5 linked regions of the Oryctolagus cuniculus genome follow. The protein of the gene in region 2 binds, or shares a complex with, the protein of the main gene of each other region. Links are inferred from orthologs where the notes say so. Each region holds a gene or a part of one and is shown on either strand. Other genes may lie near its edges. The genes, in order: NSMCE1, EID3, NSMCE2, NSMCE3 and SMC5.

Evidence for each region.
Region 1: EID3 (region 2) and NSMCE1 share a complex: the UniProt entries of both Homo sapiens proteins name them as parts of the SMC5-SMC6 complex. The link is inferred for Oryctolagus cuniculus from reciprocal best matches to the Homo sapiens genes EID3 and NSMCE1.
Region 3: EID3 (region 2) and NSMCE2 share a complex: the UniProt entries of both Homo sapiens proteins name them as parts of the SMC5-SMC6 complex. The link is inferred for Oryctolagus cuniculus from reciprocal best matches to the Homo sapiens genes EID3 and NSMCE2.
Region 4: EID3 (region 2) and NSMCE3 share a complex: the UniProt entries of both Homo sapiens proteins name them as parts of the SMC5-SMC6 complex. The link is inferred for Oryctolagus cuniculus from reciprocal best matches to the Homo sapiens genes EID3 and NSMCE3.
Region 5: EID3 (region 2) and SMC5 share a complex: the UniProt entries of both Homo sapiens proteins name them as parts of the SMC5-SMC6 complex. The link is inferred for Oryctolagus cuniculus from reciprocal best matches to the Homo sapiens genes EID3 and SMC5.

The regions. Positions count from the first base shown.
Region 1 is NC_091450.1:12,374,934-12,379,312, forward strand, and holds part of NSMCE1 (non-structural maintenance of chromosomes element 1 homolog), read left to right. Parts: intron 1-1,684; coding exon 1,685-1,806; intron 1,807-2,661; coding exon 2,662-2,739; intron 2,740-4,379. UniProt on the Homo sapiens protein: RING-type zinc finger-containing E3 ubiquitin ligase that assembles with melanoma antigen protein (MAGE) to catalyze the direct transfer of ubiquitin from E2 ubiquitin-conjugating enzyme to a specific substrate.
Region 2 is NC_091442.1:107,085,902-107,090,275, reverse strand, and holds EID3 (EP300-interacting inhibitor of differentiation 3), read right to left. Parts: upstream 2,463-4,374; 5' UTR 2,357-2,462; coding exon 1,031-2,356; 3' UTR 702-1,030; downstream 1-701. UniProt on the Homo sapiens protein: Tissue-specific component of the SMC5-SMC6 complex, a complex involved in repair of DNA double-strand breaks by homologous recombination.
Region 3 is NC_091437.1:150,978,623-150,983,001, forward strand, and holds part of NSMCE2 (E3 SUMO-protein ligase NSE2), read left to right. Parts: intron 1-1,291; coding exon 1,292-1,392; intron 1,393-1,738; coding exon 1,739-1,845; intron 1,846-4,379. UniProt on the Homo sapiens protein: E3 SUMO-protein ligase component of the SMC5-SMC6 complex, a complex involved in DNA double-strand break repair by homologous recombination. Is not be required for the stability of the complex.
Region 4 is NC_091443.1:11,537,661-11,541,693, reverse strand, and holds NSMCE3 (non-structural maintenance of chromosomes element 3 homolog), read right to left. Parts: upstream 2,091-4,033; 5' UTR 2,035-2,090; coding exon 1,207-2,034; 3' UTR 862-1,206; downstream 1-861. UniProt on the Homo sapiens protein: Component of the SMC5-SMC6 complex, a complex involved in repair of DNA double-strand breaks by homologous recombination. The complex may promote sister chromatid homologous recombination by recruiting the SMC1-SMC3 cohesin complex to double-strand breaks.
Region 5 is NC_091432.1:160,209,402-160,213,780, forward strand, and holds part of SMC5 (structural maintenance of chromosomes protein 5), read right to left. Parts: intron 1,923-4,379; coding exon 1,781-1,922; intron 1-1,780. UniProt on the Homo sapiens protein: Core component of the SMC5-SMC6 complex, a complex involved in repair of DNA double-strand breaks by homologous recombination.

The sequences.
Region 1 (4,379 bases), on a different chromosome or scaffold from region 2:
GGCCCGGGAGTGCAGTGGAGGATGGCCCAAATTCCTTGGGTCCTGCACCCCATGGGAGACCAGGATAAGTACCTGGCTCCTGCCATTGGATCAGCGCAGTGCGCCGGCCACAGCGGCCATTGGAGAGTGAATCAACGGCAAAGGAAGACCTTTCTCTCTGTCTCTCTCTCACTGTCCACTCTGCCTGTCAAAAAAAAAAAAATATTCATTTCAAAGGCAGAGTGACAGAGCAAGAGAATGAAAAGGGAGAGGCCTTCCACCCACCGGTTCACTCCCCCAAATCCCTGCCGCAGCTGGGGCTGGGCCACCCTAAAGCCAGGAGCCATGGCCCCCGTCCTGGTCCCCAGCGTGGTGGCAGGGCCCAGCTGCTCTCGGGCCATCTTCCGCTGCCTTCCCACGAGCCGCGAGGACTTGAAGCAGGCACTTTGACACGGGGTGTGGGTGTCCCAAGTAGTGGCCCCTGCCCATTACTATCCCTGTCGTGGTCCTTGTTACCAGCCTTCGTGGGTCATGTGGTCCTGCCCCTCTGATGGCACTGGGGAGCCTGTGTGGTCCCCATCTGCGTCCCATGACTGTGTGCTCCACTGCTGCCCTGCTACCAGGCCATCTTCCCTCTAAACTCTTCCTCTCTGGTTCCCCATGGAGCTTAGCAGTGCCTTCTTTCTGGAGGAAGTCAAACGCAGGTACAGATACAGCTTAGGGACCTCATGTGACCCTGTTCTCGCAGGGCCTGCCTGGCGACGGCCTTGGTCAGCAGGTTGGCGGGGTAACCACCCGGCCTTTTACTCAGAATTGTTTTGTTGGTTCTGTTAGCATCTTTAACATGAACAGTACGTTGCGTGTTCTTCTTGAAATGGTGCTTTGTTTTTCAGAGGAATTTTCTGAAGTGCAAATCTTTTGAAATTAGTTATTTTAATAAGTGGAGATGTCAACATATACCCTAGGTTTTATTGATTTATTTTTGAAGATTTATTTTACTTTTTTGACAGGCAGAGAGCGAGCGAGAGTGCATACTTCCATCTGCTGGTTCACTCCCCAAGTGGTTGCAGTAGTGGGGGTGGGGCGGGCTGAAACCATCTGGGTTGCCCACGTCGGTGGCACGGGCCCAAATACTTGGGCCATCTGCTGCTGCTTTCCTAGGTTCATTAGCAGGGAGCTGGAAGCAGCCGGGACTCAAACCAGCACTCCAGTAGGGGATGCTGGCGTTGCCAGCAGTGCCCCAAGGCCGGCTCTGTCTAGGTTTAAAATGTAACCCGGGGTGAGTGTGGGATGCCTGCGTCCCATCCCTGAGTGCCTGGGCTGGGTCCCGGCCCAGGGCCAGCCGTGCAAGTGCTCAGTAGCTGTTTGGACGTGGAGTAAAGGGCGGAAGGAATGAAATAGACCCCGACGTGCGAGGACGAGCAGGGACACTGGGGACGATGGCGACCAGGGGTGCCATGGAGCCTGTGGCGGGAGCTCAGGGCAGCTGAGTGAGCGCAGGGGTTGTGAGCATCTCCCAGGCCTCTGCCCCTCGAGGCCCTTGCTTGCGCCTGCCTGCTTCTGTCCTCCCGGAAGAAAAGCCGCATGGGGGCGGGGGCTACCCCGTCCTGCCTGGGCCCGGCGCGGTGTCCAGGTGCCGGGGGCTGATGGAACCAAGCCACCGTCTGCGAGGACGACCCCGTTCTCTTTGCCTCTTTACTTCCAGGCAATGCTCCCATAGACAGGCTGGAGGACTTCATCAACAACATCAACAGCGTCCTGGAGTCATTGTACATCGAGATCAAGAAGGGAGTCACGGAAGATGACGGCAGACCCATCTACGCGCTGGTGAGTGCCAGGTGGCGCCCTCTAGTGGCTCCTGTGGGGAGCTGCAGCCGGTGGCCTGTGCGTCCGGTGGGAGCGCTCCCTGCCTGGCAGAGGCTCTGGGGACAAAGGGGCCGGGCCGCCCTTGCTGTGCTCACAGCCCGCCTGCAGGTCTGTGGGACCCTCTGGGTTAGCAGGCGGGGTGACCAGCACTAGAGCTGGCCCTGGACTCGGTGCCCTCATCACTGGATGCACGGAGCCCCTGCCTAGGCGTGGTGGTGAGGGTTTGCTTCGCTCTGTCCTAGAACGTCCCACATGTGTGGCACGTGAGGCGTTGAGGCAGGACATGGGCTTGCTTTTGGGGTGAGACATAGGAGCTGTGGGAAGAATAGTGTGGGAGCCCTGAGGAGTGAGACTCGTTTGGGGCCTCACCTTTGCAGCCAGGGAGTGGGGAGGTGTGTGAGAGGGGAGACGCTGACCGGCCTTGTCCTTGGCTGGGGACCGCCTGGGGCTCCTCCCAGCCAGGCCGACGCTCAGACGCGGGCCCTGCAGCCCGGACTTTCCCCAGCCCTGCTCCATGGAGCAGACTCATGTGCATTCACAGCCATGGGGGCCCGCTAGAGCAGAGTGCGTTCCCGCCGACTGCTCCCGCCTTTTGCGTTGGCGGCTCTTGTCATGTGCAGACCTGGTCCCCAGCGCTGTGTGAGTTTGGAGCATCCCGCACAGCCTGTGGGGCTGTGCAGTGTCTGGGAGCCAGGCGTGGTGGCTGGGTTCGAGGTGAACGCCCGTGAGCTGCAGCTGTGTCCGCATGGCCGGCGGGGCCTCGGTGCGGGGCTCACCAGCAGGCGAGCGCACCATGATGGCTGTGCTGACTTCTAGGTGAACCTCGCCACCACTCCCATTTCCAAAATGGCCACAGATTTTGCAGAGAATGAACTGGATCTGTTCAGAAAGGCGGTGAGTACTGGGCCCCGTTGCATGTCAGCTGTGGTTCTTGTGGGAAGCTCCTGCCTCCACCATTAGAAATGGAAGTGGGAGGGGCCGGCGCTGTGGCACAGCCGGTTAAGCCTCTGCCTGTGACACCAGCATCCCCATTGAGCTCTGGTTCCAGTCCCAGCTGGAGCAGCTCCCTGCTGATGGCCTGGGAAAGCAGCAGCAGATGGGCCAAGTGCTTGGGCCCCTGCCACACATGTGGGAGACCTGGATGGAGTCCTAGGCTTCTGGCTTTGGTCTGGTAGATATCACACCCCCCCCCCCCCCCGTCTCTCTGCTTTTTAACTAAATACATAGTTGGGTTTTGTTTTTTTTTTTTTTTGACAGGCAGAGTGGACAGTGAGAGAGACAGAGAGAAAGGTCTTCCTTTACCGTTGGTTCACCCTCCAATGGCCGCCGCGGCCAGCGTGCTGCAGCTGGCACACCGCGCTGATCCGATGGCAGGAGCCAGGTGCTTCTCCTGGTCTCCCATGGGGTGCAGGGCCCAAGGACTTGAGCCATCCTCCACTGCACTCCTGGGCCACAGCAGAGAGCTGGCCTGGAAGAGGGGCAACCAGGACAGAATCCGGCACCCCGACTGGGACTAGAACCCGGTGTGCCGGCGCTGCAAGGTGGAGGATTAGCCTAGTGAGCCGCGGCGCCGGCCTACATAGATCTTAAAGAAGAAGAAAGAAGTAGAGACAGTGGAGGGGAATAAAGGCCCCAGCTGCTGCCCAGGAAAGGCCCTGCGGGGAGAGCTCAGCCCCGCCACCTGCTTGCTTGGGAGGCAGCCGCAGCCACCTGGGACAGGAAGCTGGTGCACGTGTGAGCCTGGCTGCAGGCCGGCAGCAGGGCCTCCTGGGAGGAATGAGTGTGACGACCGTGCGGCCCGGGAGCTCGTTACAAAGGCGGGTCCCAGTCTGCACCCCCGCAGTGGGATCTGAGGTCATGGCATTTGAACAGAGCGCCCACTGACTCATCCGTCCGGGCACGTGTGAGAGGGGCCGCTCCGCCAGACTTTGGGGCTGTCAGCACCGCCCTCCTGTCGCACACCTGGCCTGGACGGTGGCGCTCGGTCCCGGTGCGCGTGCTGGTCACCTGTGAGGTTCCAGCATCACCCTGGCTCTGAGCGCCGGGTCCTAGGAGCAGTGCTTTAGAAGCCTCTGCTGGGAGCTCCCGGCAGCCAGGGTTGAGAGCCAGCCCAGGAGTCAAGTGACGTGCAGCTTCCAGGCGGCCCCCATGCTGCTGGGCACACGTGCAGGGCGCTGGCCCCAGGGCCACGATGGCACCTTTCCTGCGCGCCCACCTGTGGGAGAGGAGTGCCTCCGTTATGCACTCGTGCGGGTCTCAGCTTCTGTCCTTCAGGGGGAGGGAGGAGAGGCAGCCCCGTCGGCAGCCTGGGGCACTGGTGTGTTTCACCTGGGACGGCGCGGGAGTGGCTGTTGAGTGGCGAGGCGGGCGTGGTTAAGGCTCCTGGTGCATACTGACTGTGTGCCTGAGGGACCACCCCAGTGGCCACTGGTGCCTGTGACGGCGGTGGCTTGGCCGCGTCCCTGCTGGGGACCAGGGTTGCCGCCGCCGAGTTGCTGGCGCTGGTTTGACGATCGGTGCCTGTGGTTTCTGTC
Region 2 (4,374 bases):
TTAAAACAATTTTAAACAAAATGCTTTATAGTTTTATACTAAATGAAGAATTGGATAAACGGTGCAAACAGACCTGAGACAAACATTCAGTTCTAACACGCTGAAACTCTAGACTCTGAAGGACACAGCACACTAGCAGAAATTACAAGGGGAATCCAGGAACTAGGAAGGAAATTAACCAGTAAGACAAAGCCTACAACGCAACATTATAGATTCTGTGGTTGAAGTAGCCTGACAAAAATATTCTCCCCTTCTGAGGATACTAATAGATGAGGTCATCCAATTTGCCAGCTTAGCATTCAAAGAAAACCATTTTCCCAAAAACCTGATGTCCTCTTGCACCCTAAATTCTCACAATTCCACAAGTTTGGCCTCACTTATGCCCCTGCCTGGATTGCCCTTCCTATCTTTTAATTCCTACTCACCCTTCACCTCATAGTTGATGTTTTTTGACAACTACACTAGAGACACTCTACTTCTGCTGAGTCCAATCACAAGGGAAATTAAGAATATAGACATTCATGTATCTTAACTGACTCCTCCACAATGGTATCTCAAGTGTTGTCTTAAAAAAAAAAAAAAAAAGGCGTTTTAATGTTGTATAGTCATTCCCTTATAGGTAGGTGGTTTTACTTGACCACTTTTAATCCATCTTCCCCCAACCTCATTAGGAGCCCCTTATAGGAAATAAAGTTGCAGAACGTAACTTTTTTTTTTTTTTTGGAAACTGTAAAATACTCTTGTGTTTATGAAACTTAGAATCTACTTTTTAAATACAGACTTACACATAGGGCATTAAAAAGAAAAACTTCCCATAAAGGTTATCAATGAAATTTTTTTAATAACCAAAGACCATGACATTGTAAATTATCAAGAAAAATATAGTGCACAGTAAAACTTCTGATGTTCTTAAAACACTTTTTCACTTTGCATGGGATACAATATACATTTCTGTTTAGATTTCACTCTCCATTTTTTGAGATATTTCAGGAAACACAAAATAGTTCCTACACTAGCAACAAAAATCTTTCTAGTACGAGTTTGTGATCATAGCCTCTGAAATTTCAAAAGTTGCCACTATATTCTTCCAGTCCTGTAAACTCAGAGAGATAATTCCTTGTTTCCTGCTATGAAAACTGGGATCATTTTCCTCATCTACTTGGTTAGTACTAATTGGCTCTAATATTGGCAGTCTGTCCTGGTCGAGGCTTATTCTTGCAAAGCCATCCCTTACAATGAAAGAAACATAGAATATGTTCTCCACGGTGCGAGAGAAAGAGTTCGGGTCGATCACAAACTCAAAATAAGACACAGGACTGTCGGGGTACTTCTGAAAGTACGTCTGCAGCAACCCCAGGATTCTCTCCACTTCTTTCTCTGTAGCCTCATGATTACTACTGAGGTCCAGCTTCCTCAACTTTGTGGGCATGTCTCCGCTTCCCTTCAGTCTGCGAACTCTCTTCTGATGTTCAAGTCGAGGCTTTCGTACGGAAGGTTCTGGCTTGAACGAACCAAAGATATAGCGGAAATTCTCCGCTCGCAGCATCCAGCATGCTGCTTCCTTCTGGAGCGTCTCCCAGAAGTGAAGAGCCGCGGTCCCATCACAGCTACTCAGCTCGTGGTGCTCGTCTTCCATCCAGTTTAGGCCCATGAATATGAACAGGAAGTCACAAAACGCTGCTTGGTTAAAAAAGCTCATGTCAAAGTTTAACTGCTTCGCCTTCTCTTTCCCCAAGTCAGAAGCCAAAACGAGGAACTGGGCGTCGAGGGCCGCCTCCCGGGTGCGGCTCACGCCATCGAACAGCACCTTGGCCTCCTCCAGCGCCTCGGTGAGCGAGTTGCTGGCCGTGTTCACGATGTCCTCGCGGTTGTGCTGCACGCTCCGCATCAGCTGCCGGTACTGCTTGCGGATGCTCCGGCATTTCTCCTCATCAGCCTCCAGCCCCAGGAGGATGGGGTCCAGCTGGGCCTCCCCTGAGCTGAGGTCATCAGAGTCCAGGGCCATTTCCACCTTCATCGGTTCTTCCTCCTCCTCCACCGGCTTCACCAAGTACTCGCTTCCGGTGACGGTCACGATCGCCGCCTCCCCTTTCTGTACACCTTCCTTCAGGGTACTTGCTTCGTCAGGCCTGTTGACGACCGGGAGCGCGTAGCGAACTGCCTCCTCAACGATTCCCACACCGTATATACGCCTGAGGTCAGTTACGGCAGCACACGACACCCGCCCATGCGCACTAGCGGCTGCCCCTGCCCGCCGGCGGCTCGCCCCGCCCCTGCCACGCCCCACGCCACGCCGGCCCCGCCCCGTGCCGGCTCCGCCTCCACCTCGCCCCAGGGCTGGGCGGCCCCGCCTCATCCCTCCCCGTGCCAGGACGGCCCCGCCCCGTCCCGCCCCGAGGCAGCTCCAGCGGGATGCAGGACTCTGCGCCTCCGCCTCCGCCCAGCCCCGCTGCCTGGAGCCCGGATCCCTGCATTCGCGCACAGAACGCGCGCCAACAATGCCCCCCCTCAACCCCCCACCAGGAAGTAACAGCCGTTCAGGCAAGGGCTAGTCTCACTTTTGGTGTGTAAAGACCTAGTACACAAACACCTGGGGGCAACCTTAGGACAAAATTTGGGAGAACTAAAGGTCTTGTGATTTGAAACGCTTAGAGCACCTGCACTCACTCCATCACTAAAAGATGTTTAGTTTTTGAGAACTAAATCTGGCTACACTAGACGGACAGAAATAGATACACAGATATATAAACTATGAACTGTCAGGAAGGCCAAGATCAGGAAACGCTGACCTCTTACAGAGAGGCCACATCCAGAGATGCATTGCAAGGTGGCTGTTCAGAACTCATCATACAAACATAAACCCGGTGAATTATATCTGTAGGCCCTCAAAGGCCAAATCCCATCCCACTTACTCCCTCCTGAGGATGGGGAGGGGCGGAGTGGCAGCAGTGTCAGTGCCAGCTGTGTGCACTCGTAAGTCAAGGGATCCCTGGACGAATGGAGTGGGGAGGGGTCTCTGCCAAAAAAAATAAACAAAAGTCTTTATTTGGAAACTTTCCCAAAATGTAAAAGCCACTGACCGAACAGCAAAAGACCAGCAATGCTCTGAAGATTTTTAAGTACAATCTGTTACAAGGACATGAGAATGACATCTGTTAACTGGGTTGACTAACCTGCTTTGGAAAATTCACCCACTAGCCATGGGTGGGTGTCGCTCCCCCTCTTCATGGAGGAACGACACTAAGCCCTGCCTAGGCTTCATATCCGAGTCATGGCACCATTATGTCGCTCCCCGTCTTCGTGGAGGAACGACACAGGACCCTGCGCTGTTCTTTTGTCTGCTCGGCCCTCCCCGGGTTTGCTGCTGGTTCTTCCCGGGTTGGCTACCGACCCTTCCACCTCCGTGGAAGGGCGGTTCCCCCTGCCACTTTCCCCACTTCCGCGGGGGGAACCGCCCTTCCACGGAGGTGGAAGGGTCGGTAGCCAACCCGGGAAGAACCAGCAGCAAACCCGGGGAGGGCCGAGCAGACAAAAGAACAGCGCAGGGTCCTGTGTCGTTCCTCCACGAAGACGGGGAGCGACAGGTGGGTAATGGAAATTCACAAACAGGTAAAGAACCGGCTCAGTTTCAGTCACACAAGTAGCAAATACAGGTAACAATCAGAAGAATAAGTTTATTTCTAAAGACAACCAAAGTCAAAAGTTTTTCATGAGTGTGAAGTGTTTCTTCAAAACTAAAACCACGGGAGACACACATTATAGCCGACAACCACAGGTTTCAGGGCACCAAGAAGAAAACCAACTCTTCTTCTTTTTTTAATTTCCTTTTTTTTTTTTTTTTTGACAGGCAGAGTGGACAGTGAGAGAGAGAGACAGAAAGGTCTTCCTTTGCTGTTGGTTCACCCTCCAATGGCCGCCGCGGCCGGCGCACCGCGCTGATCCGATGGCAGGAGCCAGGTACTTCTCCTAGTCTCCCATGGGGTGCAGGGCCCAAGCACTTGGGCCATCCTCCACTGCACTCCTGGGCCACAGCAGAGAGCTGGCCTGGAAGAGGGGCAACCGGGACAGAATCCAGCGCCCCGACTGGGACTAGAACCCGGTGTGCCGGTGCCGCGGCTCAATAGGCCAGGCGGAGGATTAGCCTAGTGAGCCGCGGCGCTGGCCACCAACCCTTCTTAGTACCTTTCTCTCTCTTCTTCTAGACTGCTTCATGTTTCTTTGGCACTAGCAGAAAGTTCCTTGCAAATGCAAAACTCAGTATAAATTACTCCAAAATATTATGCTACTATTTTCCAGAAATATTTACTTAAGTAGGAGGATTCAAGGAAAAGCATGCAGTTTGGAAGAATCCCATACATTATGGTTATTTGTGCA
Region 3 (4,379 bases), on a different chromosome or scaffold from region 2:
GTCTGGGAAAAGCAATGGAAGATGTCCCAAATGCTTGGGCCCCTGCTGCCCATAGGGAAGACCTGGATGAAACTCTAGGCTCCTGGCTTCAGCCTGGCCCAGCCCTGGCTGTTGGGGCCATCTGGGGAGTGAACCAGCAGATGGAAGATCTCTCTGTGTCTCTTCCTGTCTCTCCATAACTCTGACTTTCAAATAAATTTTAGGGGAAAAAAATGTTAAGGCTTTTATATGATACTAACTCCTACTGTCTCCTTCAAAAATCGTCTGTCATCTCCTTTTCCCTAAGTGAGGGGAAAGCGCAATTTAATGAAAAGAAGAAGCAGACAGTGCCATGTTCAAAGCCAGCACTACCACTCATCCTCCAGCAGTTCTCAAAACGTGACCAGGGAACCCCTAGAGTTCTCCAAGAGCCTTTTCAGGGCAGCTGTCAAGTCAGAACTGCTCTCATAATAACATGAGGTCATTTGCCTTTTTCATTCTCATTCTTTCCATGGGTGAATTTTCCCAGAAGCTGTAGGACATGTGATATTGTGGCCAATTAAGTGCATGCACAAATATCAAAATCCAACTGTCTTCTGTCAAGCCAAGCATTAAAGGTACTTAGAAAAACTGTGAAGCAGGGCCACTCTTCTCACTTGGGACAAGGGGTGGACAGGATGGTTTCTGGAAAATATGCTAACTTTTAATTCTTACAAAATATCTGTTACCATGTAAAGGGATTTTATTTTTTAAATAAATTAATACATAGTTTTTAATTCTTCAGTTTTAATATCTATCATTGGTAAATATAATTCACATGAAAAAAGTTCTTTGGAGATCCTCATTAATACCCAGAAATATGAAAGGGTTTAAGCCTACGAGCCACACACCACACACATTACCTAATAGCAGGTACCACTTAGCACTTCCTTGTGCCAGGAGCGGTGCAGAAGCACACCACCTTCTGTGTCCCTTCCTCATGTTTGCGGCTAGCTCAGGGTCTCAGAGCAGGACGGGAGGGAGCTAACCAGGTCCCCCAGTTCACACTCTGGATTACCAGACAGTATCTCCAAAAGTTAATTCTCTGTGGCTTTGAAGAGTATTTTTACTGCTCTGAGCCTCAGTTTCCTTAGCAGGAATGGGCAGAATCCTGTGCCTTGCAGAGTTCTCTCGAGAGCAGAACAATTCCGAGGCCTCCAGGGGCCTCGCACAGAGACTCATGCCACGTAGAGCCCACTGTCCTTCCATTCCTTCCGCATCTGTGGGGTGAAGGCAGGCCGAGGAGGCTCACCCGCTCCTCCTTTCCCTCTAGATGGTCTTCAGGCGGACAGAGAGGCCGACGGAACAGAAGGAGTGGACGAAGACATGATCGTGACCCAGAGTCAGACCAACTTCATCTGCCCCATTACGCAGGTACTGGTTCCTCTTTCCACCCCTGTCAGAGAAGCAGTTGGCTTCCCAGGGGCAAAATGGTTCCTGCTGGCTTTCTGGTTTGATTTCACATTTGGAGTTAAGGCGGGAGAAAAGATAAGTGATGCAGACTAAGGCATATACAGGGCAGGCTTTCCTTCCAGCATACCCTGAAGGATCTAGGGAAAAGTTCATGGCCAATGACACTGGTGCCCCGGTTTCCCTGCTTGTCCTTATCTTAAGCCTCATAGTTACCTAAGGCCATGAGAAAGCCCAGGACTAGGGGAAAGAGAGCTACTGGAAATTGATCGTTATCATTCCTGAAAGCCTAATGTCTCCTTGATTGCAGTTGGAAATGAAGAAGCCAGTGAAAAACAAAGTGTGCGGCCACACCTACGAAGAGGAAGCCATTGTTCGCATGATTGAGTCCAAGCACAGGCGGAAGAAAAAGGCCTGGTGAGTTGACGCGGGAGCGGAAGCGGGGCCTCCGCGGTGGGCAGCCAGGGCCGCTGTGCCAGAGGTCAGGCCAGAGGAAGAGACACTCAGTGTCTGCCCGAGATCACATTCGCCTCCCGGACAGTGTAAACATGGAAGCTGACTTTCTGGAAAAACCATTCAGCTGGGAAAGATTAGCAATCTGTTCAGGAAAAGCCGAAGGAACTCCAGCCACACCTTGAAACAGAAGGAAAAAGGTTGGATTGAATTCTAATCATGAGATTATAGGAGTTTTATGAATGTGTGCAATTAAAAACCTAGCCTGAAGAACATAAAGGAGAACTGTAAGACTCAAATGTGCCCTCTCTTTGTATATACACTTCCCCAAACAAGAGGGAATGTAAGTTGTTTTAAGGCTTGTTTTGTTTCGTTTTGCTTTCTGCAATACAGCTAATTTGCTTTAAAAGTATTTTAAGGGGACCGCCGCTGTGGCACAGCAGGTAAAGCTGCCACCAACAATGCCGGCATCCCACATGGGTGCTGGTTTGAGACCCGGCTGCTCCATTTCCGATCCAGCTCTCTGCTATGGCCTGGGAAAGCAGTAAATGATGGCCCAAGTGCTTGGGCCCCTGCACCCACGTGGGAGACTTGGAAGAAGCTCCTTATGCCTGGCTTCAGCCTGGCCCAGCCTCGGCCTTTGGGGCCATCTGGGGAGTGAACCAGCAGATGGAAGATTCTCTCTCTGTGTGTCTCTGTCTCTCTCTCTCTCACTCTGCCTTTCAAATAAATAAAATAAGTTTTGAAAAATTATTTTAAGTAGACACTCTAAGATGACAAGTCACATCCCCTGGCCTTGATGAATCCCATTTTATTATCAGGGGGTACTTGCCACATATTTAATTATTTAACTAACTTCCTAAAAGATTCAAGTAAACTCATGGGTGACTGATCAGTGAGGTTTATTTTAATGGAGGTTCTGAGGAATCTTTCGTGTGTTTATTCCCTCCCCAAGATCTCAAAGGACTGTGGCTCTGATTCTGTATTAACATAGAACTCTGAGTGAGCTAGACTGGCTCCGGCTTGGACTCAGTTCGGCATCTCTTGTGCGCTTATCACAGGTTTGTCTTTGCCGCAGGAATGGAATGGCAGGTGTGACCAGGTCTCAAGAGCTTTTTGATAACAGTCCCTTTGATGTGTGGTTTGTCTCTGTCGCCCAGAAATTCGCTGTTCCAGACCTCGAGTTGGAATTCCCCACCACTCCCTAGAGATTGGATATTTGGAGGCTGTAGGTATCTTAATGGTCATTCAGTCAGGTAATTTACCCTGTTTATTCTAGAAGAATAATGGTTTTGCAGCCTCGTGGTTGCAAACTCTAGCCTACATCATTCGCACGTTTTGATCTGTTTGGAGTTCCCACTTCGTAGTTGAAATGTCTCCTCCCTGCTGAACCTGTCCTCTCCTCTGTGATTATAATTTTCTGTTGTTTCTGGACTTCCAGATCTCTTTTGCAATGAACTTTTTTCTGTGTTCGTTCTCTGAAAAGCCAAAATATTGTTAACATGATTGCTAAAAACAGATATTCCTAGATAGATTTATTTGCTAGCTCTTCTTACTCCAAGTTTGTGACGTCCCCCTGTAGTCAAATAAGGAAAAGGCAGGTACTGTTACAAAGCGCATTCCTCCCCACAAGGACAAGGATATGTGCCAGTGACTCCCAGAATAGACATCCTGCCTAGTTCGATCTCCTTTATTTGTTTTTATTTATTTAAAGAGAGAGTGGAGGCCTGCACTGTGGGCTGTGGCATAGCAGGTAAAGCCGCCACCTGCAGTGCCGGCATCCCATATGGGCACAGTTTGAGACCCAGCTGCTCCACTCCAATCCAGCTCTCTGCTGTGGCCTGGGAAAGCAGCAGAAGCTAGCCCAAGTCCTTGGGCCCCTGCACTCACGTGGGAAACCCAGAAGAAGCTCCTGGCTCCTGGTTTTGTATCAGCCCAGCTCAGGCTGTTGCAGCCATTTAGGGAGTAAACCGGCAGATAGAAGATCTCTCTGCCTCTGCCTCTCTCTAACTCTGCCTTCCAAATGAATGAATGAATGAATGTGCTCTTCCATCCTCTGGTTCACTCCCCCAAATGCCTGCAACAACGGGCTGGGCCATGCCACAGCTAGGAGCCCAGAACTCAATCTGGGTCCTCGGCATGGGTAGCAGGGACTCACGTACTTGAGCTATCAGCGCTGCCTCCCAAGGCACATGAGCAGGAAGCTGGAATTGGAAGCAGAGTTGGGAATCAAACCCAGACGCTCTGAGAAGGTGTGCAGGCATCCGAAGCAGCACCTTAACTGCCATGCCGAATGCCCACACCTGGATCTTTGTAAGTACGTATTTTGACTTTCTAATCAGCCTTTGCCTTTTTTTGAATAGTACATGATATTTGCAAGTACATGAGCTCTCCTTTAGAGAAGTTGGTTGGTTGGTTTTTGCTGCCATGCTTCCCTAACTGGAGTATGTAAAACTCTGCAAATTCTCCAAGCTTAATCATAACAACCATTAGATCTA
Region 4 (4,033 bases), on a different chromosome or scaffold from region 2:
GTCCCGGAGCAGTGCACTAAGACACTCACTGTGCCAAGGACACAGATGACGTCATCACTCCTCCCCACCTGAGGAGCATAAACCTACCCCACGCGGCCCTGCTGAGGAGGGCAGGAGCTGTGACTGGGCCGAGCTGCTCCCAACCTCTCACCTCGCCTGCTACTGTGCAGAGGACCCTCCCCAGGCCAGGGGACAGCCGCAGGGCCCTTCCTCTCCCGCTCTCCTCGTGGGCTGCACTCGCCGTGCACCAGATGCCTTTCCACAGACCCACACAGCGCAGTCAGGCTAGGACAGAGGCCCGACTTTCCTAGGAGCGGCTGAGAACAGTTAAAAGTCGGCACACACAGGAAGCAGCAGCTCCGGACTAAGAAGAAAAAAAATCTTCTTTCTGAATAACTTTACAAAGGGGCTGTGACAGGAGTCTTAGGTAAACTTCCCTGTTCACGCCGGCATCGGCCACCTCACAGGCTAGGCCCCGTCAGTTCACACACCTGGGCCGTCCGGCAGGCAGGTGGGTCACTGACCGAGACACACATTTCACACCGTGAAGCTACGCAAATACTTTTTTTACATCAACTTCTACAGAACGCTATGAACATTAATATGCAAGAGATTTAAAAACGCGCATGACTAACCACTTTAAAATACAGCATTTATCGTTAACGGCTACGTAGTTAGAGGGAAGAAAAGCCGCCCAATGGAACTGAGCGATGAGCCACACAGCTGAGTAACAATCGTGAGCCCAAAACCCTCTTGGAGGCACAGGAGGCCATCGCTCGGAGTCACGGCCGCGGCCCGGGGCAGGAAGCCTGTGAAATCCGCGTGTTACTCTAACAAGGACAGACGGTTCTAGTCGCACGGTCAACTTTGCAAACAGCTTTATTTTCCTTACAAATGGGGGTAGGAGACGTGAAATCACTTCTCTGCTTTTATATTCTCGGCACCGAGGTCCTGCGCTCACGCGCTTTCTTAAACACCTGTCCCAGGGCACGGCACGCAGCGCTCCGGTTAGTCTTACAAAGCCAGCAAGATTTTATACAAAATAACAACACGACGGCAAAGTCTAAACCGGGGGTGGGGGCAAAAGCCGCCGCTCCCCCAAGCCTGCTTCGAGGCGGCGGCCTGGGAGCAGACAGCAGGGGCCGGGGGAGGCGAGCCCACCCACCCACCCACCCCCGGGCGCCCCTCCCGCCCGCGCCGCGGGCTTCAGCAGGTGGCGGCCGGCCCGCTGGGCTGGGGCTGCGGCCGGGCCCGGCTCTCCTCGTCCGCCAGGGCCTCGCAGTACTGCGCCGGCCAGTCCTTGGGGTCCTGGTTGTGCACTTTGGCCACGAACTTGAGCACCTTCATCTTGCTCGTCTCCAGGCTGGTGCGCGGGCCCCACTGGAACTCGTAGTCCACGGGGTCCGTGTGCGGGATCCGCCGGTACTCCAGGTAGCGCTGCCGCACGAAGTCCTCGGTGAGCAGCTTCTTGGGGTCCCCGAAGACCACGTGCCGCTTGGTGGGGTGCACGCCCAGCCGCCGCAGGAAGTCCCACACCTCCGTCTCCTTCACCGCGTTGCCCTTCATGAAGATGAGCCCCAGCACGATCATCAGCAGGCCCGTGGTGGGCGTGCCCTGGTCGCCCCGCACCGCCGCGTCCTCCTCCACCGGCTCCAGCGTGTTCACCAGGATGTACGCGTTGCTGCGGGGCTCCAGCTCCACCAGCTTGTAGCCGAACACGTACTGCAGCCGCTCGCCGGCCAGCCGCAGCAGGTCCGGCAGGACGTCCTTGTAGTCGCCCAGCACGTGCTTCGCGATGTCCGTGCGCTTGATGGGGATCTTCTTCTGGTCCTTGACCAGCAGGAACTGCACCAGCTCCGCCACCTTCAGCTCCAGCTGCTTCTGAGTCCTGGGCCCCACCGACGGGGCGCTCAGCGCCTCCTGCGAGCCGCCCGGCCCGCGGGACGTGCTCGGCGTCTCCTCGGCGGCGCCGCGGCCCCCGTCCCTGTCGGCCTGGGAACTGGACCGGCCCCGGCTCCGGGCTTTCTGCAACATGGCTCCAGGCAGCGGGGCGGGGGCCGCAGCGGGGCGGGGGCCGCAACGGCCGGAAGCGGCGGGGATTGTGGGTCGGCGCGAGGCGCCAGGGGGCGGGGCCACGCGGCGTGCGTCCCCGTGCGTGCTGCGTCACGGGGGGCGGCGCTGGGCATGCGCAGCCGCGCCTGCGGAAGGGCGGCGCGGTGCTGCTGGTGGGAGTGATGGGTTAATCGGGTTAGAAAGAGACCACCAAACTCCTGCTCTAGGGTGCGGCTAATTTCAGGCCCGCACGGGCGCGGGGCGGTTACGGGCGGTATTAAGAGGTTTAGCATCGGGCGCCTTTGTGGATGGAGTGGCCGAGGCCGCCACGGCGTGGGAGGCTGGAGCGCCCGCTGCGGCGCAGACCGTGGAGGTCGAGACACGCGAGCCGCAGGGCGTCCTTGACCTTGGCGCCCGCCCTCGTGTCCTCCGGGGTGTGCGGGACACGAGGGGCTGGCGGCCACTGCCCGCGGCGGGGGGCCGGGGAACGCGGCGCCCGCGGGCACGGCCCTGGGCCCGCAGCCACGCCCGGGGCAGGACCCGGAGACATTCCCACTTCCTCGGAGGCCTCGCGGATGCGAGCTGCGCTAACGTGCATCTCCTAGACGCCTTCATTGCAAACTCCCCAGCCACTGGGATCCGTAGCAAAGCGCACAGGGGGTCCGCGACGTGTGCAGTTTGCATGCATTTTCAATTGTGCAACGCGTCGTTCCATTAACTCGAGCGATCAGCAATCTGCTGGCGCGCCTACAGATTTTAGCAAGTGTGTTTCTTCTCGACTTGCAAGGAAACTCAATTTCCCCGTCTTTTTTTTTTTAAAGCTACCGGGAAAATGGGTAAACTTCTCTAGGAACTAAATTAAATTGAGTTCCTCTTTAATGCAAATATATTCCGCGGAAAGCAATTCAGAGCCCATTATTTGAATAACAGCACCAAAGCACAGCCTTATTAACATTCCATTGAAGGAGAGTCACATAAAATTTTTGTTTATAATTCAATATGAAAATGCAATCTGATAATGGCACCCACACCACCCCAGTGCTAACCGTGAAGTCTTAATCCACGCTGTGGTGCAGTATGATCAAAATGCTAGCTGGGAGCAGTCGCTCTCCCACACCGAATCCACCGAAGGGGCCCCTCGCGGCAGTCTTAATGAGAGGCTGCCGCGGTTAGAGTGTCCCGCAAAGTTCATGTCCCCTAATAGTGCTGGGGGGTGACGAGGGCTCTGCCAAATGAGCAATGCATTTTCCCCCAAGCGGGTCAGTATGCAGTGACCGGTCCTCTCCTCCTCGTCCTCTCGCCATGGGCTCTCTTCACTTTTACCTTGAACTTGCTCATTTCCAGAATTGTGAGCCAGATAACATTCTGCTGTTTCTAAATGACCCACTCCGAGGTATTGTTACAGCAACACAGAAAGGACTAAGTGGCCTAAGTATCATCCAGGCATTTTTTTTTTTTACAGTAAGAAAATGCACCTGCTTGAGTTTCCTTGTAAATTGAACTTTGTACTTAAGTTCAGAGAAGCCTCCTGCAATCTAGAATTCTGTAAATCCTTCCATGCATTAGAGTCAGTTGTACCCCAGTCAAAAAAAATAATTCAGCAACCAAGAGATAGGGGAGAAATGGAGAGAAAGGAACCTGTGATGGACAGTTGAGTTATGCCAGCCCAGCCGTCAGGCTGCTCTGTGACTTGTGAAAATCAGCTGTATCCAGCAGCTTCCTGGCCAAGCCACAGGCTCATTCCTCCAAGGAGATGGGAAAGATGCAGTTTCACGATGCTTTTCATCACAAAGCCTCTCTCTCTACTTTGTCCTTAAGAATGCAAGTAAGAGGGTCTGCACGGTGGTGTAGAAGGCTAAGCCTCTGCCTGCAGTGCAGGCATCCCACACGGGCGCCAGTTCAAGTCCCGGCTGCTCCACTTCTGGTCCAGCTCCCTGCTAAAGGGCCCGGAAAAGCAGTGGTAGATGGCCCAATGATTTGG
Region 5 (4,379 bases), on a different chromosome or scaffold from region 2:
TCTCAGGATGCATTAGCAGGAACCTGGATCAGAAGTACCATAGCTGTGAGTTCAATCAGGCATTCTACTATGAGATGCAGATGTCCTTAGGTGGCAGGTATACCACAACACCAGCTCTTGTATTTGTTTCTTTAAAAAAAAAAAAAAGATTTATATATTTACTTGAAAGGCAGTGTTAGAGAAGCAGAGGCAGAGAAAGAGAGGCCTTCCATCCACTGGTTCACTCTCCAAATGGCCGCAATGGCCAGAGCTGTGCTGATCCGAAGCCAGGAGCCAGGAGCTTCCCACGGGTCTCCCACGTGGGTGCAGGAGCCCAAGCACTTGGGCCACCTTCTGCTGCTTTCCCAGGCCACAGCAGAGAGCTGGATCACAAGTGAAGCAGCCAGGACTCAAACCGGCACCCAAAAAGGAGGCCAGCACTGCAGACGTTGGCCCCATGTGTTTGCTCTAATACTATACCTGTCCATTAACTTTCTTCAAGTAATATATTTTTAATTTCATTATGTTCTATTAGATTCTTTTCCAAATTGATCTTTTTGTCATGTATTCCTCTGTTATATTTGCAATCTTCTTTTATTTCCTTAAGCGAATGACAAATACTTAGTTTACTATCTGTTCCTACGAGCTTTGCAGAGCTCATCATGCAGTCTGTTTTTGCTTGATGTTATTTTAGGTAATTCATTTTTCACATGTTTTATGACTTCTTAGGATGGACTCATGAATTTCTTGAAACTTCATGTTAGAATTCATCTGAGGACTAGGTTAAAAGTATTTTCCTTGAAGGGATAGTTATGTTTGCTTCTGCCAGGTACCTTGAAGGTATTACTAACTGAGACCACTTAAAAATTTGGATTTATGATATTTAAGCCACATAGGTAATATGAATTCTGGCCCCCAATGCATGTTAAGGCTTGTGGTTAAGAATTCTCTGGGCCGGCACCCCGGCTCAATAGGCTAATCCTCCACCTACTGGCGCCGGCACACCAGGTTCTAGTTCTGGTCGGGGGGCCAGATTCTGTCCCGGTTGCCCCTCTTCCAGGCCGGCTCTCTGCTGTGGCCCAGGAGTGCAGTGGAGGATGGCCCAAGTCCTTGGGCCCTGCACCCCATGGGAGACCAGGAAAAGCACCTGGCTCCTGCCTTCGTGGTGCACCGGCCACAGCGTGCCGACCATGGTGGCCATTGGAGGGTGAACCAACAGCAAAGGAAGACCTTTCTCTCTCTCTCTCTCTCTCTCTCACTGTCCACTCTGCCTGTTAAAAAAAAAAAAAAAAAAAAAAAAAAAAAAGAATTCTCTGGAAGACTTTTCTCCCCACTGTATTCAGAATGACCAATGAGATAATTAAGTAACCCAACTGCCCCTTTGGTGTTTTTTTCTGCTGCATATACCGCCTGCCTTCTAGATTTTATCTTATAGTACTTCCCTATCTCATCTCAGGTCCCCTACGAGTTGCAAACCATTCAAACGCAGGTTTTTAAATGTCCCTGAGAAAACAACTCAAGTCTGCTATGTCTTTAGATTCTTATTATTTTTTAAAAAGATTTATGACATTATTTCTAGCATTTCAGGTGTTACATACATGAAGAGTTCTCAAGCGATATAGTCCAAAACATTTCTAGAGATGAGACTCTCCTTTCAGCTTCTCTTATCTGCTAAATTCATTCCTTACATTCAAACACTAGAACTTCACTATACTCATAAAACTGAGAAAAATAAACTTGTTTGTTAGTAAAAGGACTGAACAGTTTTAGATTTTCTTTAAAAGTTCTTCAGTTAACTCACCTTATCTGCCCGTCCCATGAAAGCAGGTTTGCCTGCTAATCCAAGGCAAATGGCACACACAATACTCGACTTTCCTGTTCCATTAGCTCCAATAATCATATTTAAGTGGGGTCCAGGAGATACTTCGCAGACATCATATGTTCTGAATTATAAAGAAATGAAATTATTAAGCAGAGATAAGAATATGTTCTTTATAAAAGCACTCTTTCTCACTTTACATCATCATCTACAAGTTTCCCAAATTCCTTTAAAATCCAGCTCACCTTACAAATTCAACATTATCTACAGGTTGCTTACAACTTATAGTTAGAAAGTCACTGGAAGAAATGAGAAAGTGATAATGCATATCTAAAATGCAAACATCAGAGAGAAAATAAGATGCCTTTTTCAAAATCAAGTCTGTTGAAAAAAGCGAGTTTGATGTGATTTATTTTTATTATCACAATTCATGAGACAATATCAAAGTGATCACTACACAAATAAAATAATTTTCAAACAAATTTTCATACAACCAGTTATGTTATGTTATCTTATGTATGTTATCTTAAATCTGTAAATTTTTTTCATTTGTACTTCTCCTGAATTAAAATGCTTAGTGGCTACTTACCATATTTTAATATGTAAAACAATTCAATCAAATTACTCTTATTCCAATGAAGGTATATATCAACAGAATGCTTTTATTTTGTTATTAAGTAAAAACAAAGAAAAACACTGATTTCATGCTGCCAGAAGAGTCACCAAAGAATCTACCTCTGGTTTACAGTGAAACCAATTTTATTCTTATGAGAGAAAAAGATGTATTGTCACCCAGCTTAAAAATGTTCTGCAATGTTCCCTCAGAACATCGAGCTGATGTTGTCTAGCACTCCACCTGCATTCTTATTAGCTGCAAAGGACAGTTCGACAGAACGTGAAGCAAGCTGACTTGGGGCTGAATACCCTGAACCGGAACCCAAAAATAACGCAACGTGCCTGCAGCATTTCTTTTTTTTTTTAATTAATTAATTTATTTGAAAGTCAGAGTTACAGAGAGAAAAGGAAAGGCAGAGACAGAGAGAGGTCTTCCATCTGCTGGTTAACTCCCCGGATGACCCCAATGGCCAGAGCTACGCTGGTCCAAAGCCAGGAGCAAGGTGTTTCTTCCAGGTCTCCCACACGGGTGCAGGGGCCCAAAGACTTGGGCCATCTTCCACTGCTTTCCCAGGCCACAGCAGAGAGCTGGATCAGAAGTAGAGCAGCCAGATGCAAACCAGCACCCGCCAGATGCAAACCAGCACCCATATGGCATGTAAGCACTGCAGGCTGGGGCTTTACCCGCTACACCACAGCGCCAGCCCCGCCTGCAGCATTTCAGTTAGTGCTCAGGTAGCTATCGACTAACTCCCCAAGAACATTTGTTCAGCCTGTTATCAGCTGCTAACCATATAAATTGAACCAACCACACTTCAACTTTAATGCTTCAAAAAATTAATGATTCCAAAATGCCAGATAATACTAAATAAACAGAGGTAAGTAATTAACATAAGGAAAAAGTAGCTTCTACAAGTTTTCCAGTCTCACTCCTAAACACAGCATCTATTCACTTTGTCTTTTCAGATACTTTGTTCTCTTAGCAGCTCAGTCTTAAAAGAATCCTTCATTATGCTTAACACATTCAAAACTAAATCCACCATCTTTTCCATCCCATCCAAAACTTCTATGGCTTCTTGGTGAAGAGAATCAATCACTAACACCATCACTCAAATCAGAAACCCAGGCATTACTTTTGCATCATCCTGATTCTTCCATCTCCTTGCCTCAACCCAGACCAATGCCCCATCACCCAATCAATGACACCACCTCATCATACTAACTCAGTTCGTACACATGCAAATCTATCACTTGTTAAATAAAGAAAAGTTGGGAAAGGAACCCTTGGTAATTTTGCCCTCGTTGCATCTTTTTCTATTTGTTATCTCCTTTCCCTATTCTCGCTCAGATTTCTACATCCTACCAACAATGTACCTCTGTTTTCTGGTCTACTTATTTTTTCTTCAAGCCTTTGCATGCACTGTTTCTTCAGATGAGAAATCTTTTTTTATCCTCAATTTCATTTCACTTGGCTCACTCACAGGAACCTTTCCCTAACTCTACTCTGAATTCTCTGACTACTCTTCCTACTGTCTTGCTAATTCTCTAAGCCTACCCCTCCTCTACTTTACTCCTCAAACTCAGGGTCGCCCAATCAGTAAAAGCAAACAAAATATCCCGAGCTCTGAACTTTTCTTTCTCCTCCTTACAGTCAACTTTTCCTTCCTCACACCTCATTCATTCTTCCACAGCCTTCCAAGTCTTCTGCTTCGCTTTTTTTTTTTAATTTATTTGACAGATAGACAGTGAGAGAGAGAGAGAGAGAAAAGTCTTCTTTCTATTGGTTCACCCCCCAAATGGCCGCTACGGCCGGAGCTACGCCGATCTGAAGCTAGGAGCCAGGTGCTTCCTCCTGGTCTCCCATGTGGGTGCAGGGGCCCAAGCACTTGGGCCATCCTCCACTGCCCTCACGGGCCACAGCAGAGAGCTGGACTGGAAGAGGAGCAACCGGGACTAGAACCCGGTG